Linked DNA regions of Sus scrofa. The main gene of each other region encodes a partner of the protein of the gene in region 2 in a complex. Links are inferred from orthologs where the notes say so. Each region holds a gene or a part of one and is shown on either strand. Other genes may lie near its edges.

The links.
Region 1: TFDP2 (region 2) and E2F2 share a complex: the UniProt entries of both Homo sapiens proteins name them as parts of the DRTF1/E2F transcription factor complex. The link is inferred for Sus scrofa from reciprocal best matches to the Homo sapiens genes TFDP2 and E2F2.
Region 3: TFDP2 (region 2) and LIN52 share a complex: the UniProt entries of both Homo sapiens proteins name them as parts of the DREAM complex. The link is inferred for Sus scrofa from reciprocal best matches to the Homo sapiens genes TFDP2 and LIN52.

Annotation. Positions count from the first base shown.
Region 1 is NC_010448.4:81,393,939-81,401,191, reverse strand, and holds the start of E2F2 (transcription factor E2F2), read left to right. Parts: upstream 1-2,329; 5' UTR 2,330-2,845; coding exon 2,846-3,097; intron 3,098-7,253. UniProt on the Homo sapiens protein: Transcription activator that binds DNA cooperatively with DP proteins through the E2 recognition site, 5'-TTTC[CG]CGC-3' found in the promoter region of a number of genes whose products are involved in cell cycle regulation or in DNA replication.
Region 2 is NC_010455.5:82,765,137-82,771,709, forward strand, and holds part of TFDP2 (transcription factor Dp-2), read right to left. Parts: intron 3,026-6,573; coding exon 2,874-3,025; intron 1-2,873. UniProt on the Homo sapiens protein: Can stimulate E2F-dependent transcription.
Region 3 is NC_010449.5:97,379,649-97,386,832, forward strand, and holds the start of LIN52 (protein lin-52 homolog), read left to right. Parts: upstream 1-2,371; 5' UTR 2,372-2,708; coding exon 2,709-2,739; intron 2,740-7,184. Other genes in the region: ALDH6A1 (methylmalonate-semialdehyde dehydrogenase [acylating], mitochondrial), read right to left, coding at 2,086-2,133.

The DNA.
Region 1 (7,253 bases), on a different chromosome or scaffold from region 2:
AAGTTGAAGGCGAATGAAGATTGTCATGACAAATGTTTTCCCAAAACTTATCATCAAAGATGGCTGTAAGAAAACCACTAAGAGCACAACTGCATGTAAGAAGCGTATGGGTACTTGCAGATGAATGTTCAGGTTCTTAGCTGTGGTGTTTAAAATTTCCTCATTGGAGTTCCCATTGTGGCTCAGTGGTAACAAACCTGACTAGTATCCAAGAGGACGCGGGTTCGATCCCCGGCCTCATTCGGTGGGTTGAGGATCCGGCATTGCCATAAGCTGTGGTGTAGGTCTCAAACAATGTATGTTGCAAATGTGGTTGGGATCTGGCTTTGCTTTGGCTATGGCTAGGCTGGTAGCTACAGCTCCGATTCCACCCCTAGCCTAGGAACTTCCATATGCTACAAGTGCAGCCCTAAAAATACCAAAAAAAAAAAAATTATTTAAAAAAAATAAAAATTCTTTATTGCCTGAAAGGTGAGGCATAAAATATTATGGAATAAAAAATGAAGACTTGGTCAAGAAGACATGCATTGAAGCAAATGATGAAAATTAACATTTTATTTAACATTCATTGATCAGCTCGCAATAAGTTATGTAGAAAAATACATGCTTGAATGATTTTAATGGCTAAGGAATAAAATAAAATAGTAATATCAAAAAAGTAAAATAAAAAAGTAATATCAAAAAAGTAAAATAAAAAGTAAAATAAAAAAGTAATATCAAAAAAATTAACTGGGAGCTCCCTCGTGGCTCAGTGAATTAAGGATCCTGCATTGGCACTGTGGCGCGGGTTTGATCTCTTGCCAGGAAACTTCAATATGCCGTGGGTGCGCCAAAAATAAATAAATAAGTAAATAAATAGGCTGGGCCATGAAAGTCCAGTGAAATGCATAGACTGGAGTAAAGGGGTCTGTGTACTAGAGATAAGGCCAGAGATGTAACCACAGCTGCTGTTTCTTAAGTGCCTAAGGAACTAGGCTGGGTGCTGAGAGCTTTACATGTGGTATCTCATGAGATTCCCCCACAATCTTATGAAGTGAGTGTCACTAGGGATAAGGAAACCCGAGCTCAGAGAGTTTACAGAACTTGCCTGGGGTCACACAGCTAGTGAAGTGACAGTGCCTGGGATTGAACCCAGGGCTGTCTGCCACAAAGTCTGGGTTCTTCATCCCCATGAATTATTACCACCTCATCCTGGAGATCTGAGGATCCGGTAGGTAGTAAGCTGGAGACTGACTCCAGAGTGCTTCGAATGCCAGGCTCAAACTTGTATAAAAATCACACAGCACCAGGCAGGAATCAGCAGATATGGAATTTAGCAGCAACTTCTGGAGCCTCTGCCACTCACTAGCCAAGGTCTCTTCTCTGAGCCTTGGCCTCCCTAAATTTGGAGAGATGAGGAATGTAAATGGATTATCAGCAATGAGGGAAGGAAGACCTGTGACTAAAGGATTGTTTAGGAGAAACCTGGAGATGTGCAATTATTTACTGAGTGATGGGCTCTGGGCATACACTGTGAACAGGTTGGAGCCCTGCAGTCTGAACTCCCAAGCAAGCCTGCAAGGGGCCGGGCACAGCTTGGGAGAGTGAGGGAGGAGACTTTTATTGGAACAAATAAGGGCCCAGGAGCTGGCCTGTCCCATGTTGAACTGCCAGACCTCAAGTCGCTGATCTCTCTGTGTGACCTTGGGCAAGTTACCTAGCCTCTCAGACTGTCCATCTTTGCCACGAAGAACATTGTTCCTCTTCTGAGGGTTGTTGGATTAAATTAAATGAAATAAAACGAAATCATCTAGCCAGGTGCTTAGCATAATCAATATGCCAGGTTATGGGAGCTCAATAGATGTCAGTAGCCCCCTTTGAAGAGGTACAAATGTTAGGTTCCGTCTTTCACCCTCTTGCCAGGAAAGAGTACAGGTTCCTGGCTTTCAGTTTCATTTTGGCTCTCATTTCATTTCATTTCATTTTAGCGGGGGGAAAAGGATATAAACACACATATGTTATCTGAACTATACGCAAACAAAAGGCCTGCGTCCTGGGCAGTGTACTGCTTGCTGGGTCTGGGCTCTGGTCAGGACTCCACGCCAAAGTGTTTTCCCTCACCTCCAGGGAATTCGGACCCAGTCCTCAGCTTGCGGCTGCCTCTACCCTGGGCGGGAACCATCCTCTCAGTCTGTTTCTCCCTCAGCCAGCGCTGGCGGGCGCCGAGCAACAGCAGGTGTAGCGGCCCCTTTAAGCCCCAGGCTCTTGTTGTAATCACCGCCTAGGGGTCGGGTCCTTTCCGGGGGGTGGAGCCTTTGCCTGTGTCAGCGACCAATCAGAGCGCGGCATTTTCCGCGGGAGATCCGAATTTCGCGGCACGCAGTTTCGCGCTAAAAAAAAAAAGAAGAAGAAAAAAAAGAAGCAGAGAAAGGTTCAGGGACTCGAGAGCGAGGCGAGAGGGAGTCGGTGCAATCGGTCTGTCTCCCCGATCCCAGCGCATCGCGTTTCTGCCGAGCCCGCGGGTACCCCAGAGACCCCTTCCCGGAGCCGGCTGGATCCCAGGCGCCTAAGCCTTCGGGGGCTCAGGGCCCTCGCTGGTCGCAGCCGTCCTCGGGGCGGGACAGCCCCTGGCTGTGCCGCCGCCGCCGCCGCCACCAAGCGATCTCCAAGCGGCGATCTCCAAGCGCTGTCCGGCTCGGCGGCGGGCCAGGAGGGGAGGGTCTGGCCTTGCCCCGCCGGCGTCCATTGGCGGCTTCCCCCGGCCTCCGCGCCATGCCGCGGGTCGTGTGAGCCACCCTAGGCTCCGAAGCCCGCAGGTGCCTGCGGGCGCGCCAGGCCCGGCTGGGGAGGGGGCGCTGCACTCGCCATGCTGCGAGGGCCCCGGGTCCTGGCTCCTGCCGCGGGGCCGCCCCCCACTGGACTGCCCGCGATGAGCCCCACCGAGCTGTGGCCGCCCGGCCTTAGCAGCCCCCAGCTCTGCCAGGCCACCACCACCTACTACACCCAGCTGTACCCGCAGACTATGCCTCCCGCCGCAGCGCCGGGCACCTGCCTCGACGCCACCCCCCACGGACCGGAGGGCCAAGCTGTGCGATGCGTGCCGGCTGGCCGGCTGCCGGTAATGCTGGGGACCCCCCTCACCCACCGCTTCCCTCTCTGCTTATCTGGGTGTGGGAAAGGCGGGAGGGACCCAGTCTGAGTGAAGCAGGTTGAATCTGGGGAGGGAGAAGGGGCGCTTTCAGCTTCCAGAACAACACATTTCCTAAATATCTGAATAGAAGAGCCTTTCGTTTTCAGACTTGGGGTGAAATAACCTCATTTCTTGGAGTGGAATGGAATGAGCACTGGATCAAGAGTGTGGAGACCCAACACTATCCTCAGTGCACCCTGGGGAAGACCATGGGATCAATTTGCTGTCATTCATTCTTGTGTTCATTGTTTGGCCCAGAAACCAGTGCTGGGCACCTGCTATTGTCCAGTCACAGAGCTGAGCCTGGGGACAGTAACAAGGGACTTTAAAATAGGGGGAGGTCTCTCAGGTCCAGTCGGGCTGAGATTCCAAATTTTGCACTGAGCCAACTCTTTCCTGACTTTTGCCCTAGGTCCTCCCCCAGGCTCAATCTTCTGTTCCAGACAGCCAGTAGCAGGTGCAAGTTGGGGGCAGCCCTCTGGGGTTCCTGTTCAGATTGACTGTTCCTTCTTCAAGCCCCCAGGCCCGTTGCCAGGGAGGGGCCAATGTGTGGTGGCACCAGACACAGGGTGTGTTGTGTGGGAGTGGAATTCCTGGAGCCCATGAGAATCGAAACAACCATAGGGTGGGGATGGAGTTGGAAGAGCCCTGAGGGTGTGGGGGTGGTAGTTAGCGAGCCTGGTTTCTCGTCCTGATTGCCATTTATTCGCTGTGTGTCCTTGGACAAGTCTTGGCCCCAATCTGAGTCCCAATTTCCTTGTCTTGAAAATGTGTGTCTGCATGGGTAGCTGTGGGACTAACTCACCTCGAGTCTCTTCCAGCTCCAGGTCCTGGGTTTTGGAAGCAGGCTCCAAGGAGGGGAGATGGGGCTCTTGTGGGTTTGCTTTGTGTGAGTGGTGAAGTAATTCAGGTACAGGGATAAGACCACCCCTCTGCCCTAGAGGCATCTGGTCAGACCTGTGTCAGTCAGCAGGCATAGGTCTCCAGCCACCTCTGGCTACGGGCAGAGTCCCCCACTCCCTGCTGCTTGAATCCTGCTTTGCCCATGCTCAAGGCTTAAAACTTTTCAGGGCTCCTTCCTGAACATTATTTCCAACCAGGAGAAAGGAGCAGGAGGACTTTTCCTATTTCACAGGTCAAACAGCCAAGGGTAACAAGGACTCTGCACCTATATTTTATTCAGCATTTTACAGCCTAAAACAGTTTTGAAACCTATAAAGTAGGTGGTATCAGTGTGCAGGGAGGGAAATAGTCTTGCAGAGGGGATGGGACCTGTCCAAGGTCACACAGAGAGATGTATGACCCACAAGGCAAGTGATCATTAGTTTCTTCCCGCAGCCTTGACTTTCCCCAGTACTGCCTGATGTAGGAGCTGGGTGTCCCCACGGAGGGGGCTCAGCGGTGGGCCCAGTCTCTCCTCTGGCCAGCTGCTTTCAGGCAACCCGGCAGAGTTTCAGTAACAGCTGTGGTTTTGAACTGCTTCCCTCCCAGAGGAGTCGAGTGCATCTGTCCGTCCCTCCCTCCCTGAGAGGCTCAGTGATCACAGCAAGAATGACTCTCTTTTATTGAATGCCTCTGATGTGCCAGGCACTGCTTGGCACTCTTCGCTTTCGTTATCTTGGCCAAGATGCCTGGCAAGAGGCATCTTACAGATGAGGAAACTGAGCATAGACGTGAAGTCACTTGTCCAAGCTCCAACCAAGACATGGTAGCATCTCTTTGCATCAGACCACCCTCAAGGCATTTGGGGCCTAGAACCCCCCTCTCCTGTTGGTCCCCAGCTGCCCTGTGCCCCTGAGTCCCCTGGGCAGGCCTTGGCCCCCTGCTTACTCATTTTAACAGGGTGTGACCTGGAATAGCTCCAGACCCAACCCTGGGTGTGGCCCCTTGCTTTGTGGCCAGGCTGCAAAGTGCAGGGTGAGCAGGATTTGTTGGGGAGCTGCTGTTTAAAGGGACCTTAGGCACTGCCCAGGGATGGCAGCCAAGTTCAATGGCAGAATGAAGGCGGGAACCCAGGTCTCCAGAGCTCTCTCCGCCACCTCTGGAGAAAGTGTGGGATGTTCCTTGGTTAAGTTCCTACTGCGCCAGGCACGTGGCCTCACTCTATGCCTTTCCTGCAGGAACCTGTGACGAGGGTAGAATTCTGCATAATTTGTCTGTATTTTCCAAATTTCCTCTGAGAGCCAGGAAAGAAAATGAACATTTTAATGAAAAGCCTACAATGCGGGTCAGATGAGGAAATGAAGGCCTAAGGAGGGAGGCAGCAAGCCCCTCTCAGGCTACCAGGCAGAGCCGGGATCTGGAAACCAGGCTCTCAGCAACTTACACTGGCTCCTGCTCCCACTGTCTAGCTTGGGACTTGGGGCTTAGGCAACACCTGCTCCACTCCCTGTGTGACCTTGCGCAAGTCACTTCCCCTCCTTCGAGTCCCAGTCTCCTCACCTTGCTGCCCATCCAGGGGCAGCATCTGGGGCTCTGGCCCTCTCACTTTGAGGGCTGCCCGCTCTTCTCCCTTGGGGTTGGCAGAGTACTTTCGAATCCTAACCAGGCCTTTAAGAAACAGCCAAAGGGGCTGCCTAAGAGGTTAGAGGTCAGGTTAGAGCCAGCTGGCCTTTGCTCTTGGCACATCCCTGTTGCTTTTCAGTTCACCTCCAAGCTTTCCCTTTGTGGACTTTAGCGATTGCGGCTCCCCGCATGAGCAAGAGCTTTGAGCTGTGTTCTCAGTGGATCCTCGCCAGGAGAAGGTAGAGCGTCCCCGTTTTACAAGCAAAGCTCAAGAGGTCAGCAGACTTGTCCAGCTTACCCAGCCTAGTCAGGAACCCAGATGGCTTTGACTCCAAGCTCTGGGTTCAGCTTCTCCTTGGTCCTCATTCTCCTGGGCTTGGCCTCCGTCACTTCTGTTCTGCAGACTCAGGCCCATCCCTGATGAGCCGACTTTTCTCTGGGCAGTGTTCAAAAGGGGCAGAGAGACATTCTCGGGTGGGGGACATTTTGCTGCTCAGGGACCCTGAGAGCGCAGGATAAGGGTGAAGGAGAAGAAGAAAAGGGAGGGGGCTGGTGCGTGCGTGTGTGTGGTGTGTGTGTGTGTGTGTGTGTGTGTGTGTGTGTATAAAGTGATGGAGGCAGGTGGACATAACCAGGCCTTGTTTCAAATGTCAGCAAATTCTGGGCCAGTGTATGTGGGATGGAGCTGAGCAGCCTGATACATGGCTTTGGAGTCAGACAGACCTGGGTTCAAACTCTGGCTCTGCTCTTTGTCTGGGTGGCCTTGGGTGCGTGGCTTAACCTCTCTGAGCCTCCATTTCTCAACTGCCAAGTGAGATTACCATACTGAGTTAGGATGGGTGAGCGTGTGATAGGCCCAGTACAGGTATCCTGTCCAAGGTCCTCTCCTCCTCCCCGCCCTGTAGGTAGTGAGGTTCTTCTGGTGTGTTCTGTGAACTCAGCAGGGGCTGGCTTCTGTGGGGTGAGGGAGGTGGGTGGCACTGGGGAGACTCTGGGCTGCCACCTTTGCCTCATGTAGAACTCAGCCTTCCTCTCCTTGTCCTTGCTGTACCTTCTGAGGGATGGATGAAGGATTCTGGGATGGACAACCTTGATCAGGACTGATAAAGGCCTTGGAGCTTACCAGGTCTCAGCTGCTTCACCTGTGAAATGGGTGTTGGGAAGACTCAATGAGGTGATGAATATTGGGACTTAGTTAAAGGCAGGCGGAAGGTCTCAGTGAATGATTGGGACTTTATAGATTGGGACTAGAGCAGGTCCCTTTCCCTAGAATCTAGCATTTTACCAGTTGGGAGGTTAGAAAAGGAATATTCCATAGAGACTTCAAGAGGAATGAGCAGGGAAGTGTGGTGTTGGGATCCATCCAGGCCTGGGTAGGGATGGAGGAGAGGAGCGTCCTATCCAGGCTCCTCACATCAAGGAGCAGGAAGTCCAAGAAGACTTCCTGGAGGAGGCATGAGTAGAGGGGGAGGGAGCTGACAGCAGGAAGAACCATCACCACCCCCCACACCTGTGAGCCCAGCTGTGCTCAGCAGCGGTTAGAAGTGTCAGCCCTGCCGAGCATAACCTCACCACCAAA
Region 2 (6,573 bases):
CTCATTGGGGGAAAGCCTCCCGGCTAAGGGTGAAAGACTACATCACCAAAATAACCAGAAGACCAGGCTTTACGACCCCACCCTGAATGACAAGCTTCAGGCAGCTTAGTGCCTCTTTCACTCAGGGGAGGGCGAGGAAAGGGCGGAGTCAGTAACCACCCAAGAAGGAAACCTCACTAGAACCCCTGCCTGAGATGAAGAGAATCCATAAATCCTTTAGGCTACTGGTCCCCAGACTTTCCTGCTGCTCTTTTTATTTATCTTTTCCTTTTTTTTTTTTTTTTTTTGGTCTCTTTGCCTTTTCTAGGGCCGCTCCCACGACAAATGGAGAAACCAAGCTAGGGGTCTAATAGGAGCTGTAGCCGCGGGCCTCCGCCAGAGCCACAGCAACACGGGATCCGAGCCGCGTGTGCAACCTACACCACAGCTCATGGCAAAGCCAGATCCTTAACCCACTGAGCAAGGCCAGGGATCAAACCTGCAACCTCATGGTTCCTAGTTGGATTCGTTAACCACTGAGCCACGACCAGAACTCCTATCTTTTCCATTTTTTAAGTTTTATTGAGGTACAGTTGATATACAATGTTGTGATAACCTGCTACTCTTTTTAGACTTAAGACGAACCAAAGAACAGAATTTAGTAATTCCCCACAAAAACAGTTCATTTTTCCTGAAAATATGTTAACCATTCTCTAGAATTCTCAGATTTATGAGAGAGTATGGTTAACAGTCCTTGTAGACATAGGTTTTTGTAAGGAATTTTAAGTGTGTGAATACTAACACACCTACCATTTACTGACCAGTGGGCTGGTCTTTTGGGGATTTACCTTTGCAAACCAGCAAGTTAAATAAATGCTTTAATTCTTATTTTTATGGAGGAAGAAATGAGATCTCGGAGAGGTTAAGAAACTATGTAGTTAGAGGAAAGACTGAAAAATGGATCTTCTGACTTCACAGCCTGCATGGTCCTGACAATTCCCAGTTGTGTCTGTAGTCTTAATTATCAAATACTTTTGAAACCCTCATTTTTTCTTCTTCTTCCTCCTTCTCCTTTTTTTTTTTTAAGTGCCTTCTTATTTAAGTGACCCAGAATCTCTGTATGCAATCAGGACAGACAGGAAAGCAACACTGCTAGAGAAAAGAGTGGGAAACGCCAGCGACGGTAAATTTAGCCCCCTAGTGACACCCTAGCTCTAAGGAAACCAGCAGTTCCAGCCCTGGAACAGTCCTGGGCTGTGCCTCTGTGATCACTGAGCCTTCTTTTGCTCTCAAATTATATGCTGACTCCTTGGGACAGCAGCACTTGCCTTGAGTCAGACCTCTTAGAGGCATCATCTTATTTAAGCATCATGGCAGCCACCGAAGTGATGAGACACCCTTGGACGGTCCCCATTAGTTCTTAGGAAAACAGCTTGGAGCAGTTAAATGGGGGAGCCACAATCCATACTTGGATCTGTCTCACTCCGCACCCTATGCCCTGAACTAACTCGATAATGGTCACAGCCTGAAGACCACTACTGTCTTCATGAAGAGTAAAATAAATTACAAATTCTGTAATTTGAAAACTGCTACTGCTTACCTAGTATGATAAACAGTAGCAGCAATCTTAGTTAAAATGAAAATCATACTGGTGGGAATGTAAACTGGTCCAACTGCTCGGGAAAACAGTATGGAGGTTCCTCAAAAAATTAAAATGACCCAGCAATCCCACCTCTGGGTATGTATCTGAAGGAAATCACAATCCTGAGCAGATAACCTGCATTCCCATGTTTACTGCCTACAGCATCATTTCCAACAGCCGAGGCATGGAAACAATCTGTGTCCACCATCAGATGAATGGATAAAGAAAATGTGGGGTATACACACAATGGGTCATTCAGCCATAAAAAAAGAAGGAAATCCTGCCATTTGCAACAACATGGATGCCCCTTGAGAGTATTACGCTAAGTGAGACAAAAAGAGAAAAACAAATAGTGTACGATCTCATAAGTGGAATCTTAAAAAAACAAAAACTAAAACCAAAACCAAACTCAGGAGTTCCCATCGTGGCGCAGTGGTTAACGAATCCGACTAGGAACCATGAGGTTGTGGGTTCGATCCCTGCCTTTGCTCAGTGGGTTAAAAGATCTGGCGTTGCCGTGAGCTGTGGTGTAGGTTGCAGACGTGGCTCGGATCCCGCGTTGCTGTGGCTCTGGCATAGGCTGGCAGCTACAGCTCCGATTAGACCCCTAGCCTGGGAACCTCCATGTGCCACGGGAGTGGCCCTAGAAAAGACCAAAAAAAACAAACAAACAAACAAACAAAAAAAACAAAACCAAACTCACAGATGCAGAGAACAGACTGGTAACCTGCCAGACATGGGGGGTGAGTGAAATGAATGAAGATGGTCAAAAGGTACAGACTTCACAGGATGAGATAAATAAGAAAGAAAGCAGAGAACACATCTAGCATTTTCACATCTGTTCGTTCATCATAAAGAGAAGCACACTCAACTCTGACACAGCAAAGGAAAACAACTGCTTTAGTGCAGCATTGATCTAAACCATTCTCAGCATCAACTACGACAGTGAATCACCAGCGAACCTACCTGAGTGATGCTCTACTTTACCTGCCCAGAGTTACACCACCTACATGTACATACATGGGCACCACCATGCATATGACAAAGGCAGCACAGGGCCAGGCCCAAGAGAGGGGGTTGCGGAGGGTGAATGACAGAGCAAGCACTAGCAGGTGACGGCACCCCATGTCTGCAAAGCCGTTTCATATGCCTTGAGGAAGTCAGCCTTGGAGCACAACCCTCTTAATTTTGCAATTGTTCGGCATAACGTTAGAAGGTGAGCCCTGCACTCTGCTGCTCGTTCCCCACTTACTTGTCACTGGAGATGCTGCAATCTATGACTGTTTTTCTGCTTGTGTTGATGATTATAAACGGCAGCTGGATGGTGGAGTTCAGAGCTGGAGGGCCCTGGTTCTGCTGTTCATTTTGCCGATTTCTCTGTACCAGGTTTTTGAAAGCAATTTGCTGTGATGATCAATAAAAACATACATTTAGTCATTTCATGTGGATAAAGGAGGTGGAACTAAATGGATTATGATGAATACGCTTAAAATATAGTTTAAAATGAGAGCATTTAAAGAGGCCTTTCACCTCTGGGTTAATTAAAATTAAATATTTAAGAAGAAAGATTAGAACGATCCAACTCAATAAATTTCAAGGGAAAAATATACTCTTAAATGGTGTCTAACGTATCCTAATGTAAATAATAGGGCCCATGGCTTCCACCACCCACTAAAGCAGGATCTTACAGATCTGGGAGAAGCCAGTGCACCCACAACTCATAGAGTGAGTAATACAGAGAAAGTGACACCAAGTGGACTTGTTTTCATTTATCTAACACAGACTCCTGAGAGCTTAGCATGAAATACACTTCTTAGATTGTCTAGCCCAGAAATATGCAAATTTTATAAAGCCACAGAACCCTTTCTTCAAATGACATCTTCTGGGACAGCCACTATTTATATAACAGATGAAAGCAGCATTGCTCTGGCTGGATGCATGGGACTGAGTCCTGAGCCCTAAGCCCCAACAGGTCTGCCCTCACCTGAGATCCTTCACAGAACTTCTAAGCATCCTGAGGGCAGAGTCTGGAACCTGGCCCAACCTCTGCCCACCTGACATCTTCCAGATGAGGAAACTGATTCTAAGATATACCAAGGCCTGAATCTTTACACTGAATCTCGCTACTTTTAGTTATAACCATTACTCATAAGGCATAGAAAGTGACCCCCGCCTCCCCTTTTTCTTACTAGGGCTGCACCCGCAGCATATGGAAGTTCCCAGGCTAGGGGTCGAATCAGAGCTGCAGCTGCCAGCGTATGCCCCAGCCACATCAAACCTGAGCTGCATCTTCGACTTACATGCAAGTTGTGGCAATGCAGGATCCTTAATCCACTAAGTAGGGCCAAGAAGTGAACCTGCACCCTCATGGGTACTAGTCAGGTTCTTAACCCCCTGAGCCACAAAAGGAATTCCTACCACAGCCCCCCCACTGTTTTCCATTTGGGGACCACAAGGTAAAACTTTCAAGGCAGACTTGGTTCCACCCAACCAGCACATGATGAAACCCTCATCTAAAACCTTCATCCAAGAGGGCACTGTCCGCCCCAAAAGTCACCTCAGAGGCCAGACCCTTCCTTCTAACGATGCCACTGTAGTCGCAGATCATTTGGAACTGCTCCCCCAAGCAACTGTGTGGAATGCTTGTCTGGGGCAGTTCACCGTCTGCCTACAAGACCATTGTCAGGATTTTGAGGCCATAGCTTCCTCTGGCACAAAACGACATTTCAATGTAATCATTGTAATAGATGGCAAAAAAAGTCACAGTTCTCTCTTTGCTCCTACATCCCTACCATTTGATTTGTAATTTGCTTTGGCCAATGGGATGTTGGCAGAAATAATGCACAGGCTTGAAAATGGACTTGCACACAGAAATTTCTTTCTCTCTATGGCTCTGCCATCAACATGAAACTATGGCCCAGTTAGCTTAAGAGGAGCTACTGTCCACAAGGCAGGAAGGGTAGGCAGTGAATTCCCCCTGGACCCTCTGCAGAGGGCAGATGTAGGGCCAGCCTGCAGGGTGCGAGCCCCCAGTCCCTGGGGCCCACTGTCAGACCAAAAGAAGATGCAAGGTCATTTCCAGGGCGAGGTCTCAGGGGACGAGGGAACTACATCTCCATGACCTGGTCCCTACTACCGCTTTTTAAATAAGGCAGAACCCACAGTTACAAAAACCTTAGGCAACTGAAGTCTTTGATCTGCTCATAGAACGGATACTAGTTTTAAAAACTAAAGTTGGAATCTTTCTTCGGCTTGCTCCATCTTCTCCCCCAGCAGTGATGAGTTTATTTTCTACATTTCAATAGCCTTATTCTAAGGTGGTTTATTTTAGGTTCTGGGCCTTACTGAAGTTTGGTTACAATTATTATTTTTAAATGGCTGGGTGCTATCTCCCTGGAAAGTAAACATTTACTTTTTGAAAATGCACGAAACAGAAGGGACACCAGTATATTCTAGGCCTAAAAGTGTGTCCAAAAGTCACTACCCAAAACCATCACTGTCGATACCATTCATTACCAAACATTACTTGGGTCCTATGTGTTATTTTCTGCTGCTAATGAACTAAGACTATTTCATATTCAATACTTCCTTCACTTAATATGGAGAAAAAATATGCTGAACCTGTAAAACTGGGGAAATGAATTGTATGTTTGAATACTTCTGCTCTCTTCTAGAAAAAGCATCTCAGAGACGCCCCTATATTTTGCCTAGCTTTGTGGTCCTAGTGCCATTGGGAGGGGGTTGGCATGGGGGGGGATATAAACAGGGATAAGTAACAGTTCTTATGTATTTATGATTCATTGTTCGATACTATGTTCCCTTGACAGCAAAGATTTTTCAAGTGAAGAAAGCAGTAAAAACACATATGTTATTTTGAGAGTAAAAAAGAAATACCACTCCCCATTTGTTTTGAACTAATTTCTTTTGGTCTTTTGTTGTTGTTGTTATTTTCTTTTTGGCCATACCCAGGGCATGCAGAAGTTCCCAGGCCAAGGACTGAACCTGAGCCACAGCAGTGACAACGCCAGGTCCTTTACCTGTTGAGCCACAAGGGAACTCACAGCCTTTTGTTCTTTTCCAGGCTCACTGACAGAGGCTAAACAGCTTCAGGTGTGTTCGTTCATTGTGCTCTGCATTAGTAGCTCTGTAAAAGGTTTAAGGGCTTCAAGGGACAACTGTATTGATAAAAGTAGGGCACCTGGGTTATCTGTAAATCTAACCTACTCACATCATCCCACTCCTACATTATCACCAAGGATAAATGAGAAGTGATGGCGTGTAGGTAAAAGTTACTTGGGTCGTATGATGTCAACAGCTGTGACATTAACTTGTTAAAGAAATTAAGCTAGCTTGGTCACAGCAAGACAAACTCGTGGTGTTCAGGGACAACCTGCTTATTTTACTTTCTGCGAGAACTTCATAAATGGTCTTTGATGAAAGAAAGGAAAAGGAAACATTAGGAAGAAATAAGCTGTTTGTCTACCAGAAGTAGTTGTTTTCAGTGATACTTTGGGTTTCATTTTAATGTTTAGAGAGACCTGCTTTAAATGTCGACAGCTGGGTTGCGCCTGGGCTGAAATCATCCATAAATATTTGGTTTGGGAGAGACTCAAGGAAAAGAAATACGGTACTTAAAAAATGCAAAATTCATTGTGTAAAGATAAGCAGGGGGGAAGGGAAAAAAAAAAAAAAAACCACCTCCATTCTCAGTGCTGGCCATCTCGAGATGGGAAAGCCCTACATACATACAAGAGGACAATCTTGCCCAGCACAAATCCTTCTGATAAACAGATACTTACAAGCAGACTGATAAGCAGGTTTTCATAATAACACATGCCAAAAATCAAGCTCCAAAGGCTCCATGAGGGTTTTGAGGAAATCTGAGGAAGCCCTTGCACAGAGGTTTAGGGACTGTGAGTTGGGAGAGAAATACTGCAGATATGGATGTGGGG
Region 3 (7,184 bases), on a different chromosome or scaffold from region 2:
CTGCACCTACACCACATGGAAGTTCCCAGGCTAGGGGTCGAATCAGAGCTGCAGCTGCCAGCCTACACCACAGCCATGGCAATGCAGGATCCATGCTGTGTCTATGACCTACACCACAGCTCACCCCAACACCAGATGCTTAACCCACCAAGCAAGGCCAGGGATCGAACCCACATTTTCATAGATACTAGTTGGGTTCTTTACCGCTGAGCCACAATAGGAACTCCCATAGACTACTCTTTATCAGAGTGTTATGTCACAGTAATTTCTAGTTGGCTAAAGATTACTAAAAACGAAAAAGATACTAGAAAAACAGAACTAGGATCACATCAAGAAATATGAATGGGAGTTCCCACAATGTTGCACAGGGTTGAGAATCCAACTGCAGCAACTAGGTTTGCTTTGAGGAATGGGTTCAATCCTGGCACAGTGGTTTCAAGGATCCAGCATTGCTGCTTCTATGGCTTGGTTAAAACTCTCAATCCCTTGACTGGGAACTTCAACAGCCAAGGGTGTGGCCATTGAAAAAAAAAAAAAAAAAGAAAAAAGAAAAATAAATATGCGTGAAACCAGATCACTTGACAAACCCTTCCAACCCTTTCTTCACACTGTCCCATTAAATAGCATATTTAAACAGGAACTTTTGCTGACTCTGCTAAGAATCTTTAAAATGCATAGTCTCTGCAGTAGAACTCACTGAAATCTGGTGAATACTATCTAAAAGTCCAGTAGTATAGAGGAAGACTTTCTTAGGTTTGATATAATGAGTAAGAAAAGCAACGTTGTTTTTTGCAGATTCCTGAATGTTGCCTGTGGCAAATCTCACCTCAAAATCCAAGTCCTTGCTAGGCTGTGGACAACATAGGAAAAGCTATGTATGAATAGTTGGAAATCACAGGTCTCAGGCAGGCAGCTCCTGTAGCTCTATCTACTGTCTGCCCTTAGGCTGGCTTCAGAGAGGACCTGGTCCCTCCACCTCCACTCCCAGCCCCACCTCTGAGGGCAGAACTGAGTCACACTAAGGTGATTTTGGAGTGGGAACTTAGAACGTTACACCTGTTTTCCTTGGCTTTTATTTTCTGCCACTTGTTTCAGAGGTGTTTAGTCCTTTGCATGTGCTTGGAACAAACCGGGTAGCATTAACTATGTGTCCTTATTCACCGCCAACATAAACACTAACTTGGCTGAGCAAAAGTTAAACTCAAAGTCTCAGCAAGCCAAGAGGACAGCCTAGCTTGTGGAAAATACAGAACCACGGAGTTCCCGTCGTGGCTCAGTGGTTAATGAATCCGACTAGGAACCATGAGGTTGTGGGTTTGATCCCTGGCCTTGCTCAGTGGGTTAAGGATCCGGCGTGGCCGTGAGCTGTGGTGTAGGTCGCAGAGGGGGCTCGGATCTAGCGTTGCTGTGGCTCTGGCGTAGGGCGGCGAAGACCGCTCCGATTAGACCCCCAGCCTGGGAACCTCCATATGCCGCGGGTGCGGCCCCAGAAAAGGCAAAAAGACAAAAAAAAGAAAAGAAAAAAAGAAAATACAGAGCCAAAGCTGGGGAAGATAGCTCAGCAAATGGCTGCTTTGAGGGAAAGCTTAGTGTGCACTTCTAGAAGGAGACTCAAAGTTCACTCACTGACCCTCACCCCTCAAGTCCTTCCTCCTCCTCCCCTCCGCCCACGCCTTTACCTCGGGTTATAGAGTGAAGTAGGGTTGGGGAAGGGAACAATTTGGACGCTCCCAGAGAATGCCAAGAAAGGCGACCAGAAAAGGAGCTTCTGGAGCAGAGAGGTGGTTGGTGCAGAGGTGAAAGGGAAAGACGGTGGGCAGACCTACAGAGGTGAGGGCAGGGACCGGGCACGGCTGGAGGAGGAGAATGGTCTAAAGCCTGAAAGGGGTAGGCTCAAGAATAAAAAGGCCACGGGTAATAGTCCAGGGCTGGATCCAACGCAAGTGGATACCGAGTGAGATGTGGGACAGGGCCGCTCAGGTCCGATGGGAATAGGAGGGTCGGCCAAGGGGGGGTTGGTTCACAAAGCGGATGGAAAGGACTGAATTCCTAGTTTCATGAACCCTTGGCGCCACCCTCACTCGCCTGCAGGATCCGGGCCCGCACTGCCGCCGCAGCCAGCACCGCCGCCATGGTTCTCGGTTGCCTCTTCTCAGCCCCCCACGCCTTTCTGTGAGACTGTCCAGAAACACTACTGCTGCTAGGCCTTGCCCCTCCATCCTGCCGAACCTCTTCATTGGTGGAGAGGACTATTTCCCCTAGCCAATCACACGCCTTAACACTGACTCCACGCCCTCAGTGCCCAGTTCTGGGCGTATGCGATTGGTCAGAAGTGATAGAGCTCTCGCCTCCTCCCGCCTCAACAAATTCTGCTGGCGGAGGTGGGGAAGACGCCCCTGACTTGGATACTCTATATTGAGAGCACGAGGAAGACGCCCCCGAATTCGGAACTCCGATTGGCCACAGGCATGGCCGCAGCCCCACCCACTCACTGAGGAAAGTAAATAGGACTCTGCAAGAATTTTCAGCAGCGCCAGCACATCCACAGCGCGAGGGGGTGTGGCTAGCCCTGGGGGCGGGGCTACGGAAGATTACCCTATGGGGCGGGGAAACGAGACAGGACAGAGGGTTGGGGAATAGGGTTTCTCTCTGGGGGCGTGGCTTATGGACCCTAGCTTTCCCGCCGACGGTTGGCAACGTCACGTGACATGGGTTGGAAGATGGCGTCTCCCACAGACGGTAAGAGCCGGCTTATAGACCCTTCGCTTGCGACCTCCTTCTCTGTTCTCCTGGGAACTTACAGATGCTCAGAGAGAATCTCTCCGTCTGCCCCTCTAACTTACACCTTTTTCGTGGCCTTCTCGCCTTTCCCTTTTACTTTCCCACGGTATGTGGGTGCGTCTTCAGCTCGCTGGTTCTTCACAGAGGCTCCGGAGGTGCCCAGTTTCTTTGCAGTGTGCCAGGCGGATGGAGTAGGGCACCCGATTGGGACCCATTCCGGGCAAAACAAGGAGGGCCTCTCTGGTCCTCCTTTAGCCGCATTTGAGTGAGGCTGAGGGCCAAGGAGGAGATACTGCTGGGGTAAAGGAGGTGTCTCAGTGTAGCTTTCTCTTTCTCAGGGCGCCCCTTTGAAGGTTCGATTCTCTTTGAGCATCTGGAACGATTCTCTCACGCTAGCTAGGGTTGGTGGCAGACCTAATCTCGGGATTGAACCGCAAGGAAAATGTGATTCTCTCCTCCCTCCTCGGATTGGGACCGTTGTTCTGGCAGCAAGGGAAGCAGGAGACCCCTCTTGGTCCCTCTCAGTGAGAGTCCCTAGGAAAATGACAATTGAGCTTTTTAGTGTAGTCATGCACATTCATTCACTCAGCGTCTTTCTTCTATGTTATGTGTTGTTTCCTAAGGCTGAGTGAATGAATGATTTCTGCTTATATGTTGTATAAGAAGCAAGTCATCTGAGGTAGCAATTAAGTGGTTTTGGTATATCCACAGGGTTTTGCGCTCCGTTCTGCTTTAGGGTTAGGGTCTTGCAGTCATTTCTAAGCTCAGTTTTTGCCTCGACAAAATGCTTGCAGTCGTTTCTAAACTCAGTTTTGCATCTCCACGTCCATTTCACTTATACTTAGTTTTCTCTCAAACAAAGGAATTTTGTGTATGGAAGGAATCTTGGAAGTTCATTTCAAGAATGAGGAAGTTGAGGCCTGGAAAGCTATGCTGAGATCCACTATTCGAAAGGCATTATTATTCTAATTGCTTTGGGAGAGGAAAAGATTAATCAAACATGTAATATTTTTTCAGTTTCATTTAAATGTCACCTCCCAAAAAGGCTTTCCCAGAACACTGTATCTGTTTCTGGAGTTGCCTCACTTCACCATTATTCTATCTCAGTACCCTCATCCACAGCATAGTTATTCTGTTAACTTTGCCCCTTTCACACTAGCTTGTAAATTCCAAGACTGTCATGTTCATAGTTGGATCCCAGGGCTTAGCACAGTACCTGGCAGGAAGTAGGTCTTCAATTCACATTTATTGAATGAATGATTAGATATATACATAAATAATGTATTACTTAGTCTTAAGTTTTAACTGAGTGTTAAGTTTTTTGAGCATGGGTACGTACTGCAGAGGAAATTATGGGTGTAAAGAGTCAAAAGAGGAGTTACCATTGTGGCTCAGTGGTTAACGAATCCGACTAGGAACCATGAGGTTGCAGGTCCTATCCCTGGCCTTGCTCAGTGGATTAAGGATCCGGCGTTGCCGTGAGCTGTGGTGTGGGTCGCAGACACGGCTGGGATCCTGAGTTGTTGAGGCTCTGGCGTAGGCTGGCAGCTACAGCTCTGATTAGACCCCTAGCCTGGAAACCTCCATATGCCGCGGGAGCGGCCCAAGAAATGGCAAAAATATAGGAGAAAAAAAAAAAGAGTCAAAAGAGATTCTTCTGCCTGGGTGCTCTCTTGTTAAAATGTGCTTTTTTTTTTTTTGCCTGGAAAAAAAGGACATTTAAAAAGTTAACCAAGGGTATGAGGAGCTACTGTTTAATGGGTATAGACTTTTAGTTTGGGAAAGTGAAAAGGTTCTGGTAATGGATAGTGATGATGGTTACCCAACAGTGTGAATGTACTTAATGCCTCTGAACTGTACACTTAAAACTGGTTAAAATGGTAAATTTTATGTTGTGTATATCTTATCACAATTTTAAAAAACCAGCCAAGGGAGAGAAGTAGAAGTAATTGCTATTTAAAAATTTTAGTTTATTACTAAGTTGTGTATACATATATATTTTTTTGTTTCTTTTTAGAGCTACACCTGCGGCATATGGAGTTTCCCAGGCTAGGGGTCTCCCAGTCTAGGGACTGAATCAGAGCTGTAGCTGCTTAACCCACTGAGTGAGGCCAGGGGTGGAACCTGTGTCCTCATGGATACTAGTCGGATTCATTAATCGCTGAGCCACGACAGGAACACCAAAGTTGTTTTTATATTTTTAAGTTTTGTTCCTCATGTTTGATTTTACCCCATCTTCTCTCAATTTCTTTTCCTTTCTTTGGCCAGGGAGAATATTGGAAGTGTATTTTTCCCCTTTGGTGTTCTAGCCATCTCCACTGACACTCTATTTGCACATTTAATTTTTAAAAGTTTCATGCTCATCTTTTACAGAGCTTCACCCTTCTCTTAATCTTTTTAACATGGCAAAATCAAGTTGAACACTTTGAACTTAAATAAGTATCTCATCCTAAGATATTCCACTGCCTAGCTCTCTCACTTCTATTTTTAGCATTCCACCTGTTTCTGTCTTTAAGATTTAATTCAAATTATCTTGATGTGAAAAAAGTTTAGGTCACTTATTGTTTCTCTTTTTAATGCTGAATTTGCTGGGACATCTTTTAAAAGGATAAAATTGAAATCTAAGTAAAGCCATTAATTACTTAATGTATGAAAATAATACTCACAGTAGACTCTTGAGTTATGCCCCAGATTGTGGTATCACGTGGGCACACTTGTAGGTTATTGGATCCTACCTTCAATAAGTTTATTTTTGTTATGGTTGAACTATCCATAGTAACGTTCCTTAGTATTTTGAAAATTGGCTTTTTTTTTGGTTTCACACAGCTTTTCTTTCTTTCTTTTTCTTGTTACCATTTTTGAATCCTTTTTTGAAGGCAGTTTGTTAGAGTTGAGTTCTCTACCAATTAGAATACCATTGGAAATTCGCTTAGATTAAGTATTTAGGTTCAGCTAACATCCATCTTATGCAGATACAGTAGAAAGAAAAGGAAGACGAAAAGGAAAAATTTTTTTTCTCTTTTTGATGAGAACTCTCAGCATTTACTCTCTTAACTTTCCTGTGTATCATACAGCAGTGTTAGCTATAGTCATGTTGTGCATTATATCCCTAGTACTTAATTTACCTTGTAACTGGAAGTTTATACCTTTTGACCACTTTCCTCCAATTCTCCCTCTCCCCGCCCCCGCCACTTCTGATAACCACAAGTGTGATCTCTTTGTCTATTCGTTTGTTTGCTTGTTTTAGATTGCACGTGTAAGTGAGAGTGTACAGTGTTTGTCTTTCTCTGACTTATTTCATTCAACATAAAGCCTTGAAGGTCTGTCCAGTTTGTTGCAAATGACAGGATTTCCTCATTTATTTACGGCTAAATAATAATTCCACTGTGTATGATCTATTTTCTTGGATACTTTAAAAAATTTTTTTATTTTTATTTTTAAGGGTGCACTCGTGGCATATGGAAGTTCCCAGGTTAGGGGTCAAATTGGAACTGCAGCTGCCAGCCTACACCACAGCCATAGCAACACAGGATCCGAGCCATGTCTGTGACCTACACCATAGCTCATGGCAGCGCTGGATCCTTACCCTGCTGTTTGAGGCCTGGGATCAAACCTACTCCTCATGGATACTAGTTGGATTCGTTACCTCTGAGCCACAATGAGAACTCCCTGTGTCTATTTTCAGTCTCTTCATTTATCAGTGGACACTAAGGTTGTTCCCATGTCTTGGCTATTATAAATAATCTTGTTATGAACATGGGGGTCCCTTAGAATATTTCCAAAAAAAAAAATTCAGTTTAGAGAGAAGCACATGTTGAAAATTTTATAAATATGTACGTTTTCTAGAGAGTGAGTCTGTAGCCTTTTTTTTTTTTTTTGCAGATTTCAAAAATGTGGCTTACTCAGAAAATGTTAAGAACCACTTTATATCATTAAATCAACGAATTTGTATAGCTAATTAGTATACTGAGCACACAAAATGTACTCAGCAAATGTTAACTGTTGTTAACATTGAGCACTTCCTGTGTGCCAGGGCAAGAGTAGAGAAGAAATGGTGTCAAAGAATTAGGCAGGGTCTGGATTATGTAGGATTTTATAGGTCATAATAGACATGCATTCATGAATTCAGCTGGGAAGAAGTCCTTTAAGCTGGAGAGTGATATGAACTGATTGACATTAAAAAAAAACAACAACTTCCTGGCTACTTTGTGGACAGTAGATTTAGGGGGAAGAGTACGAGTGGGAGCAGGGAGACCTTTTAAGAGGCTCCAGGAGAGAAGCAATGGTTCCTTGGTTAATGAATGTGATTTCAGCATATGTTTTAGAAATAGAAACTACAGAAACTACTGGATTTACTAATGGGTTGGTCATGGAAGGGTGAAGAAAAGGGAGGCTTGAAGGAT